Linked DNA regions of Xenopus tropicalis. Each later gene encodes a partner of the first gene's protein in a complex. Links are inferred from orthologs where the notes say so. Each region holds a gene or a part of one and is shown on either strand. Other genes may lie near its edges.

Region 1 (3,809 bases):
TGTTGCGCGCCATCTCCATCCTACACTGCAGCCGCTTTGTGTTGCGCCCAGATCAGCGATGGGATCCCCATATGTCTGCCCGAACCTGTCACTTAGTATGGCAGCTTAGCCTTCCCAAACTTGGCTTTGTCTGCTGCTGTACCATTTTTCTTTCCCTGTACCTGTTTTCTTTCCCAGTGCTCTTCAAGGCAGGAGGGTCAAAGGGTCCTCCATCCACCTTTCCCTAATCTGCAGCTGCCAGCATGATATATTTATGAAGAGTTCACAGGGGGTCACCCTGAGTGTCCTTTTATTATTTATTTGATTATAGAAACTTAGCAGTAGCGGCTGCATTTCCCACCCTAGGCTTATACTCGAGTCAATAAGTTTTCTTAGGTAAAATTAGGTACCTCGGCTTATATTCGGATCGGCTTATACTCGAGTATATACGGTACCTTCAGTTGTTTCAATAGTGCCCTTAATTCTCCACATATTTCTCCCGTTCAGATGATTAGAAGCCAGACAGGAAGAAAAAACGCTAATCTGTGTAAAGAAAGTTCCCATAATGTCTCGCTTCTGAACAGACACCCAGACCAAGTTAGATTATGGGGCACATTTACTAATCCACGAACGCTCCGAGCGTTCGATCGGCGTATTTTCGGGTCTTTTTCGTACTTTGTGACAAAATTGTATTGTCGCACCGAGTACGAAAGTTTCGGATTCATTCAAGCTTCGGAATCGTGACTTTCCTTGGGCCAGGTTGGAGCTGCACAGTGCCATTGAGTCCTATGGGAGGCTTCCAAAATCATGCACAGAAGGATCAAAGTCGGAAAGGTGTTCCAGCATTTTACGATCATTCGGATATGAAAATTTTGAGACTTTCGGATCGCCAATACGATTCGAATTCGTGTTTTCATGAATTTGCCCCTATGTGTCAGCTTTCCTGCTGATTGGCTCAGATCTACATTCCTAAAGGAGGGAGTGAGTTCTTAGCATTCTTGAGGGAGGGGGGAGCAGCAGAGAGGAGAGAGCTGAAAGCTGTGTCTCTCTGGCAGAGGAAAACAGACACAACTAATCTTTTGACAGAGAAGTCAGTGCAGCTGTTTCTGTGAGTGCTTGTGGCTGTATTTACATAGACCTTTCTGATAAAGCTTACTTAGTTTTTACTTTTCTTTTTCCTTTAACCACATTTAACTGATGTTAGAAATACTGCTTTTGCTTTAATTTCTTATAGATAAAAGATACAGGTGCAAATCTTGCCATATGTCAGTGGGGCTTTGACGATGAAGCAAATCATTTATTATTACAAAATGAACTTCCTGCTGTTCGATGGGTTGGTGGACCTGAAATAGAGGTAAATTTTTTTTTCTTCTAAAAAATAGCAAAGGCAACCAAACAACGCTAAACCTTGAACATTCAAATCTAATACATGAGTAGTTTAATCTTTCATGTTTAATTTTTGGAGGGATAATCAAGGCAGGCAACAATTTATTTTGTTTTTATAGCATATAATTATTTTTTACAGACCTCCCAATGTTTATCCAGATCCTATATAAATGCATATATATCTGCTGCTTTGATTTTCTTTTTCCCCTTTCTTTTCTCCTGCTTCTATCCCATATTATGTTCTCCTTATGTTTTCTTATACTCCTTTTTTTTCCTACCCTTTTATAGCCACATTTTTTTTTTCCTTTTCCCTTTTTTCCACTTTATTCTCACTGTTACTCTTATACTAATTTGTCCCCATTCCTACACTTTTTTTATTCTCACAAAATGCCCCTACTCTGAAACCATGTTATTTACTTTATCTGTTGCAGTTTTACATAAATATTGGCATAACAATGCAATTCATTTCATATCGTGTATGCATGTGTACAGCTGGAACAATATTATTGTGTAAAACTGCATTTTGTAATATTATCTGTGTGTGTATGCTTTTTGCTAAAGCCTTCCTATATTCATATAATGTGAATATCGCTTGGTTTGAGCATTGGGCAGGTTTGAAAATCTGAAAAGGTGCATTTGCAGATGAGGAAGTGAAGAGAAACCCCATCACCTTTTGATGTCCTACTGTTACACAATTTTGCAGAGAGCTTCTTTTTGTTTGTGTTTTTTCAATTGCCAGAGCTAACTGGGCAGAGAATAGAAAAGGACTGGCAAACTACTTATAATAGCAATTATATATACAAATAACCTATAAACCATTGCAAATTTGTAATGAATGTATGTTGCAAAGTTGCTTAGAATTGTTTTCTTTTATTAGGCAAAACATTATATGTTGGGCTGACTTGTCACCAAGGTCTGTCACTGCTATGTGTATTTGCAATACAGTAATTTCCATTCACAGGAGCTGTGATAGGAATGCCTTAGCCTTTAAAACAGGGTCCCCAACCTTTTTTTACCCGTGAGCAACATTTAAATGTTAAAAATTTTTGGGGAGCAATAAGGGCTGTGATTGGTTATTTGATAGCCCAGTGGTGACTGGCAGACTACAGGAGGCTCTGCTTGATAGTACACATGGACTTTATGCCTCCAAATCTTGTCTTCAAGTCAGAAATTTAAAAATGAAAACCTGCTTTGAGGCCACTGGGAACAACATTAGAGGGGTTGGTGAGCAACATGTTGTTGTCTTGAGCCCTTGGTTGGAGATCACTGCTTTAAAAGGACAGTATAACTCCTCTTTCCCTCATGTCCTTTGGCAGCACTTAGACTGGCACTTAGAGATGTTGTCCTGTGGGTGGGTAAAAATATTGACCCTAGTTAAATTGACACTCGCTCATCCACTATAAAGATCCCTCCTCCCTTTGAGATTAATGGGTTTTTTTCTACTGGCAGGAATTATACCATGTTGAGGTTTTCCTGAGCCCCTGTCAGATGACTCTGCCCCCAGATAATGGGTAAGACCAGGGCATCTTTCAGATGTCTCTGCCCCCTGTCTTTTATGAAATAGCAGCCTTACCATTATGAAGATGCTCCATGAAAAGGGGTTCTAAATACAGACAGGAATTAGAAGTGTGCTGGATGGCACATCTGGATATCAAGAAACCAAAAAGTTGTCAGGAAGCAGCGTTGTAAAATGAGAACTCTCAAAGTTTATTTATCCATACATAAAAAGCAAAAGGATAGCCTATCCTTTTGCTTTTTATGTATGGAAAAATAAACTTTGAGAGTGCCAGTGCCTTTTATTACACATGAGGGTTTGTTTGCTGTTGTCTCTTTTTTTGCAGTTAAATATAAAAATCTATGTTAAAACATGTTTTCATTAGTCTGACAAAAATGTGCATTAATTTGCAGACTGTTTGTAATGGTTATACATGTAGATCATTATTCTATAGTAGAAGAAATTAACTTCTTCTTCTTCTTGTTTTGCAGTTAATTGCTATTGCAACAGGAGGCCGTATTGTCCCACGATTTTGTGAGTTAACTCCAGAAAAACTTGGTTATGCTGGTATTGTGAAAGAAATTTCTTTTGGCACAACCAAGGATCGAATGCTTGTTATTGAGCAATGCAAGAACTCTAGAGCTGTAACTATATTCATCAGAGGAGGAAATAAGATGGTAAGTTTTCTTTATTTTTCCTCTTCAACTTAATAACAGACTTGATATCATACACTGTTGGCATTAGTTTGAAAAATGTTTCATTGTGATTCAATGAAAAATGAATGCATTAGAGCAATTATTTTACTTTTAAGAAGTAAAATGAACTGCCTGCACCTTTTTTTGGGGCGCATGCGCGCAGCTGACCAGGCAGGATGTGTCTGTGAACGCTCCGTACCCTCACCGCACTATTAAGCAACCACCAGCAGAGCAGATTGCCTCAATCGCTAAAA
Region 2 (4,474 bases), on another chromosome or scaffold:
TGGGTGACTGTTACCCCAATGTTTCCCCAGACTCACGGTGTTGCACTTGGTGCCGCACACCACTTGCCGGTGGTTTAACCACTGAGAGGCGAAGACTTTATTGAGGGTCCCCAGGTGGAACTCCCTCTCGGAGAGAATGCCGGGGAGAGTGCAAGCTGCGTGGCCGCGTAACAGACGAAGGTAACTGGAGTCATTGTGAGGCTTCAGCTCTCTGGACTTCAGGTAGAACACAAGCGATTTCTTCTCCGGGGGGAGCCTCTTGCGTTTATGGGCCGAGTGATCCCAGTCCGACTAACGGGGGGAGAAACCAAGAGTTAATGAGGGTAACGAGCAGTGGGGGCAGCCAGGCACACAGGGAGCAGCCTCGGGACTGGAGTCTGACACCCAGCGGTACTGATGGGCCGGGAGTGATACAGAAGTCTCTAGTAGGCTCCGCCCCTGATCAATAATAAACTGAACCCAAATTTAAAGGGTAAGACAGGGGCCTTATATGATAATAGGGAGGGATTGGGAAATATGGGTACAGACTTGGGTGCTGTCGGTGCCAAAGAGTAAGCTACTAAAGGTGCCAGGGGGCAATATGGGTGGTGGGTTGTGGCACTGTCTACAGAGGTGCCAGGGGGCAATATGGGTGGTGGCTTGTGGCACTGCCTACAGAGGTGCCAGGGGGCAATATGGGTGGTGGCTTGTGGCACTGCCTACAGAGGTGCCAGGGGGCAATATGGGTGGTGGCTTGTGGCACTGCCTACAGAGGTGCCAGGGGGCAATATGGGTGGTGGCTTGTGGCACTGCCTACAGAGGTGCCAGGGGGCAATATGGGTGGTGGCTTGTGGCACTGCCTACAGAGGTGCCAGGGGGCAATATGGGTGGTGGCTTGTGGCACTGCCTACAGAGGTGCCAGGGGCAATATGGGTGGTGGCTTGTGGCACTGCCTACAGAGGTGCCAGGGGGCAATATGGGTGGTGGCTTGTGGCACTGCCTACAGAGGTGCCAGGGGGCAATATGGGTGGTGGCTTGTGGCACTGCCTACAGAGATGGAAGTTACAGGTTCCTGACCCCTGGAGCTGCAACTGCTATCAACTGTGGCTTCTCTGATTGGCTGCCGGACCCACAAACCCACAGGCAGTAAATGAGTTTTGCTCTCTCTGTACCCAGCCCGGGCACTGCCCAGCAGCAGTCTCGTCACTGCCCACCCAGCACTCAGTTAATGGAGGAGAATTAGATGCCAGTCACTGCCACCCATGCCGGAGCCACGGCATCTGCCTTCACTTACTGATAGGGATGCTGAGCGCCAGCCTGTACCCAGGGGCAGCAAGGGGCACTACACACGCACCGAGCAAGGTGGGGATGTTCATGGGGGTCTCTAGCTGAGGTGGCAAACGGCTAAGTTAAGTCTGGGTCCCTAAAGTTAAAAAAATATCCCCATACCCACTGTCCCACCTCTCCCTTCTATAGAGATTCCCAAGCAGGCACAGTGCCCCCACCCCCCCCCAGGCATATCATATTGAGTTCAGCCCCGCCCCCTGATACCTTGTGTGTATCCAGCCTTCCACTTACCTGCACTGCAGCCCCGCCCCCTGATACCTTGTGTGTATCCAGCCTTCCACTTACCTGCACTGCAGCCCCGCCCCCTGATACCTTGTGTGTATCCAGCCTTCCACTTACCTGCACTGCAGCCCCGCCCCCTGATACCTTGTGTGTATCCAGCCTTCCACTTACCTACCTGCACTGCAGCCCCGCCCCCTGATGCCTTGTGTGTATCCAGCCTCCCACTTACCTGCACTGCAGCCCCGCCCCCTGATACCTTGTGTGTATCCAGCCTCCCACTTACCTACCTGCACTGCAGCCCCGCCCCCTGATGCCTTGTGTGTATCCAGCCTCCCACTTACCTGCACTGCAGCCCCGCCCCCTGATACCTTGTGTGTATCCAGCCTCCCACTTACCTGCACTGCAGCCCCGCCCCCTGATACCTTGTGTGCTCCCCGGGGCCCCCCACACAGGCACCTACCTGCTCCCCTCAGCCCCCCACACAGGCACCTACCTGCTCCCCGGGGCCTCCCACACAGGCACCTACCTGCTCCCTGGGGCCCCCCCACACAGGCACCTACCTGCTCCCCGGGGGCACCCCACACAGGCACCTACCTGCTCCCCGGGGCCCCCCCACACAGGCACCTACCTGCTCCCCGGGGCCCCCCCACACAGGCACCTACCTGCTCCCCGGGGCCCCCCACACAGGCACCTACCTGCTCCCCGGGGCACCCCACACAGGCACCTACCTGCTCCCCGGGGCCCCCCCACACAGGCACCTACCTGCTCCCCGGGGCCCCCACACAGGCACCTACCTGCTCCCCTCAGCCCCCCACACAGGCACCTACCTGCTCCCCGGGGCCCCCCACACAGGCACCTACCTGCTCCCCGGGGCCCCCCACACAGGCACCTACCTGCTCCCCGGGGCCCCCCACACAGGCACCTACCTGCTCCCCGGGGCCCCCCACACAGGCACCTACCTGCTCCCCTCAGCCCCCCACACAGGCACCTACCTGCTCCCCGGGGCCCCCCCACACAGGCACCTACCTGCCCCCCTCAGCCCCCCCACACAGGCACCTACCTGCTCCCCGGGGCCCCCCACACAGGCACCTACCTGCTCCCCGGGGCCCCCCACACAGGCACCTACCTGCTCCCCGGGGCCCCCCACACAGGCACCTACCTGCTCCCCGGGGCCCCCCACACAGGCACCTACCTGCTCCCCGGGGCCCGTTCCAGGAGCCGCCCTCCGCTTCCTGCTAACTGCTCTCCGGGTCATGCTCCCCCCGGCACGACACCCACATGGAGAGGCTCCGGGCCGCCGCACAGCACATATAACGAGAAGTGAGTCGGAACCGGAACAGAACCAGCACGGCAGCCGCCTGACCTCTCACCTTTGCGCGCCGCTATGACGTAAGACTTTTTTTTTCCTCCCTAGAAGGTCCCTCCCACGTTTCCTTAGCAACCCAGTACGGGGACACAAAGGGGCGGAGCTAGGAGGGTTCCATAGTAACAAGCTGAGACGCCTGTCCTGGGCCGAACCAACTGCACAGCGGGGGTGGAAAGAGAAACATTGCTTTGAAGTTGTTTTTTTAATCAAATAAATTACATTTTTGTCTTATTTTATTGGTTTATTTCTATTCTTCCTCTCCTCCTCAGCATTAATGCAGGGAATCTCCCTCTGTACAACAGTGGTATGACCCAAGCCTGAAGCCTGGCCCTGAGTAGCCCTCAAGCCTTGGCTGTTATTTTCTTTCACTCAGCGCTTATTGCGGGTCAGTGCCGCCTCTACATCAATTCCTGTACTGACCATTTGAAAAATTGACATTTTTTTAAAGAATTTTCTTGCAGTGACTTTTCCGTGCGACTTTTATATAGTAAATAACAGATGAGTTTAGTTGAATTTGAAAAAATAAAACATGAAAGAGAAAGGATGGAGTTTTAGTAAATCTGCCCCGTGGCGTGAGCGGCGCACGTACAACTTTTTCTGTGAAATTTGTTTCACGCCAAATATTTGCAGCCGTTTAGCGAAAAAATGTGCCGATGGCAAAAAGGGTAACTTGGCTGCAAATCCATCGCTAGGGGTGAAACGCGTAGGAACCGAGGGGCTCAGCATTAAGGTGGCCATACACGTAAAGATCCGCTCACCTGCCGAGGGTTCTTATCACAATATCCCCACCTACTGGTGGGCACATACACCTACGGGTGGGCACATACACCTACTGGTGGGCACATACACCTGCGGGCAGGCGCATACACCTACGGGCGGGCGCATACACCTACTGGTGGGCACATACACCTGCGGGCGGGCGCATACACCTACGGGCGGGCGCATACACCTACTGGTGGGCACATACACCTACGGGCAGGCGCATACACCCCCGGGCATACACCTACGGGCGGGCACATACACCTGCGGGCAGGCGCATACACCTTCTGGTGGGCACATACACCTACGAGCGGGCACATACACCTGCGGGCGGGCGCATACACCCCCGGGCATACACCTACGGGCGGGAGCATACACCTGCGGGCAGGCGCATACACCTGCGGGCGGGCGCATACACCTGCGGGCGGGCGCATACACCTACGGGCGGGAGCATACACCTACGGGCGGGAGCATACACCTACGGGCGGGAGCATACACCTACGGGCGGGCGCATACACCTACGGGCGGGAGCATACACCTTCGGGCGGGCGCATACACCTACAGGTGGGTGATATCAGGGGAATTTAGGCTAATTCGGTTGTTTGGCCCTGGGCGCAGTCAGTTCGGGGAGCGCATCAACCAGCCAATGTGGTCCCCAATCCGACTGAATTGGATCCGCAGGCTGGAGATGTTCATGCTTCGTCGGCTGCTTCGTTATGCCTCTCCTTGCGACAGGCCCTTTTATAAGGTTGCGCCTGTGGGTGTGACGTCATTACGCACGGGGCGCAACCTTATAAAAGG

The links.
Region 2: the proteins of cct5 (region 1) and dcaf12 are in contact, whole or in part, in a cryo-EM structure (PDB 8AJM), measured with the Homo sapiens proteins. The link is inferred for Xenopus tropicalis from reciprocal best matches to the Homo sapiens genes CCT5 and DCAF12. Residues at the interface, in NP_036205.1 of Homo sapiens: Gly537, Glu538, Ser539, Glu540, Glu541; in NP_056212.1 of Homo sapiens: Lys91, Phe93, Lys108, His144, Trp186, Phe188, Arg203, Lys254, Arg256, Glu298, Val300, Arg344, Phe411, Tyr422, Leu440, Pro441, Ser442, Gly443.

The regions. Positions count from the first base shown.
Region 1 is NC_030682.2:71,967,766-71,971,574, reverse strand, and holds part of cct5 (T-complex protein 1 subunit epsilon), read left to right. Parts: intron 1-1,213; coding exon 1,214-1,333; intron 1,334-3,351; coding exon 3,352-3,537; intron 3,538-3,809. UniProt on the Homo sapiens protein: Component of the chaperonin-containing T-complex (TRiC), a molecular chaperone complex that assists the folding of actin, tubulin and other proteins upon ATP hydrolysis.
Region 2 is NC_030677.2:211,229,396-211,233,869, forward strand, and holds the start of dcaf12 (DDB1- and CUL4-associated factor 12), read right to left. Parts: upstream 2,910-4,474; 5' UTR 2,804-2,909; coding exon 2,741-2,803; intron 292-2,740; coding exon 37-291; intron 1-36. UniProt on the Homo sapiens protein: Substrate-recognition component of a DCX (DDB1-CUL4-X-box) E3 ubiquitin-protein ligase complex of the DesCEND (destruction via C-end degrons) pathway, which recognizes a C-degron located at the extreme C terminus of target proteins, leading to their ubiquitination and degradation.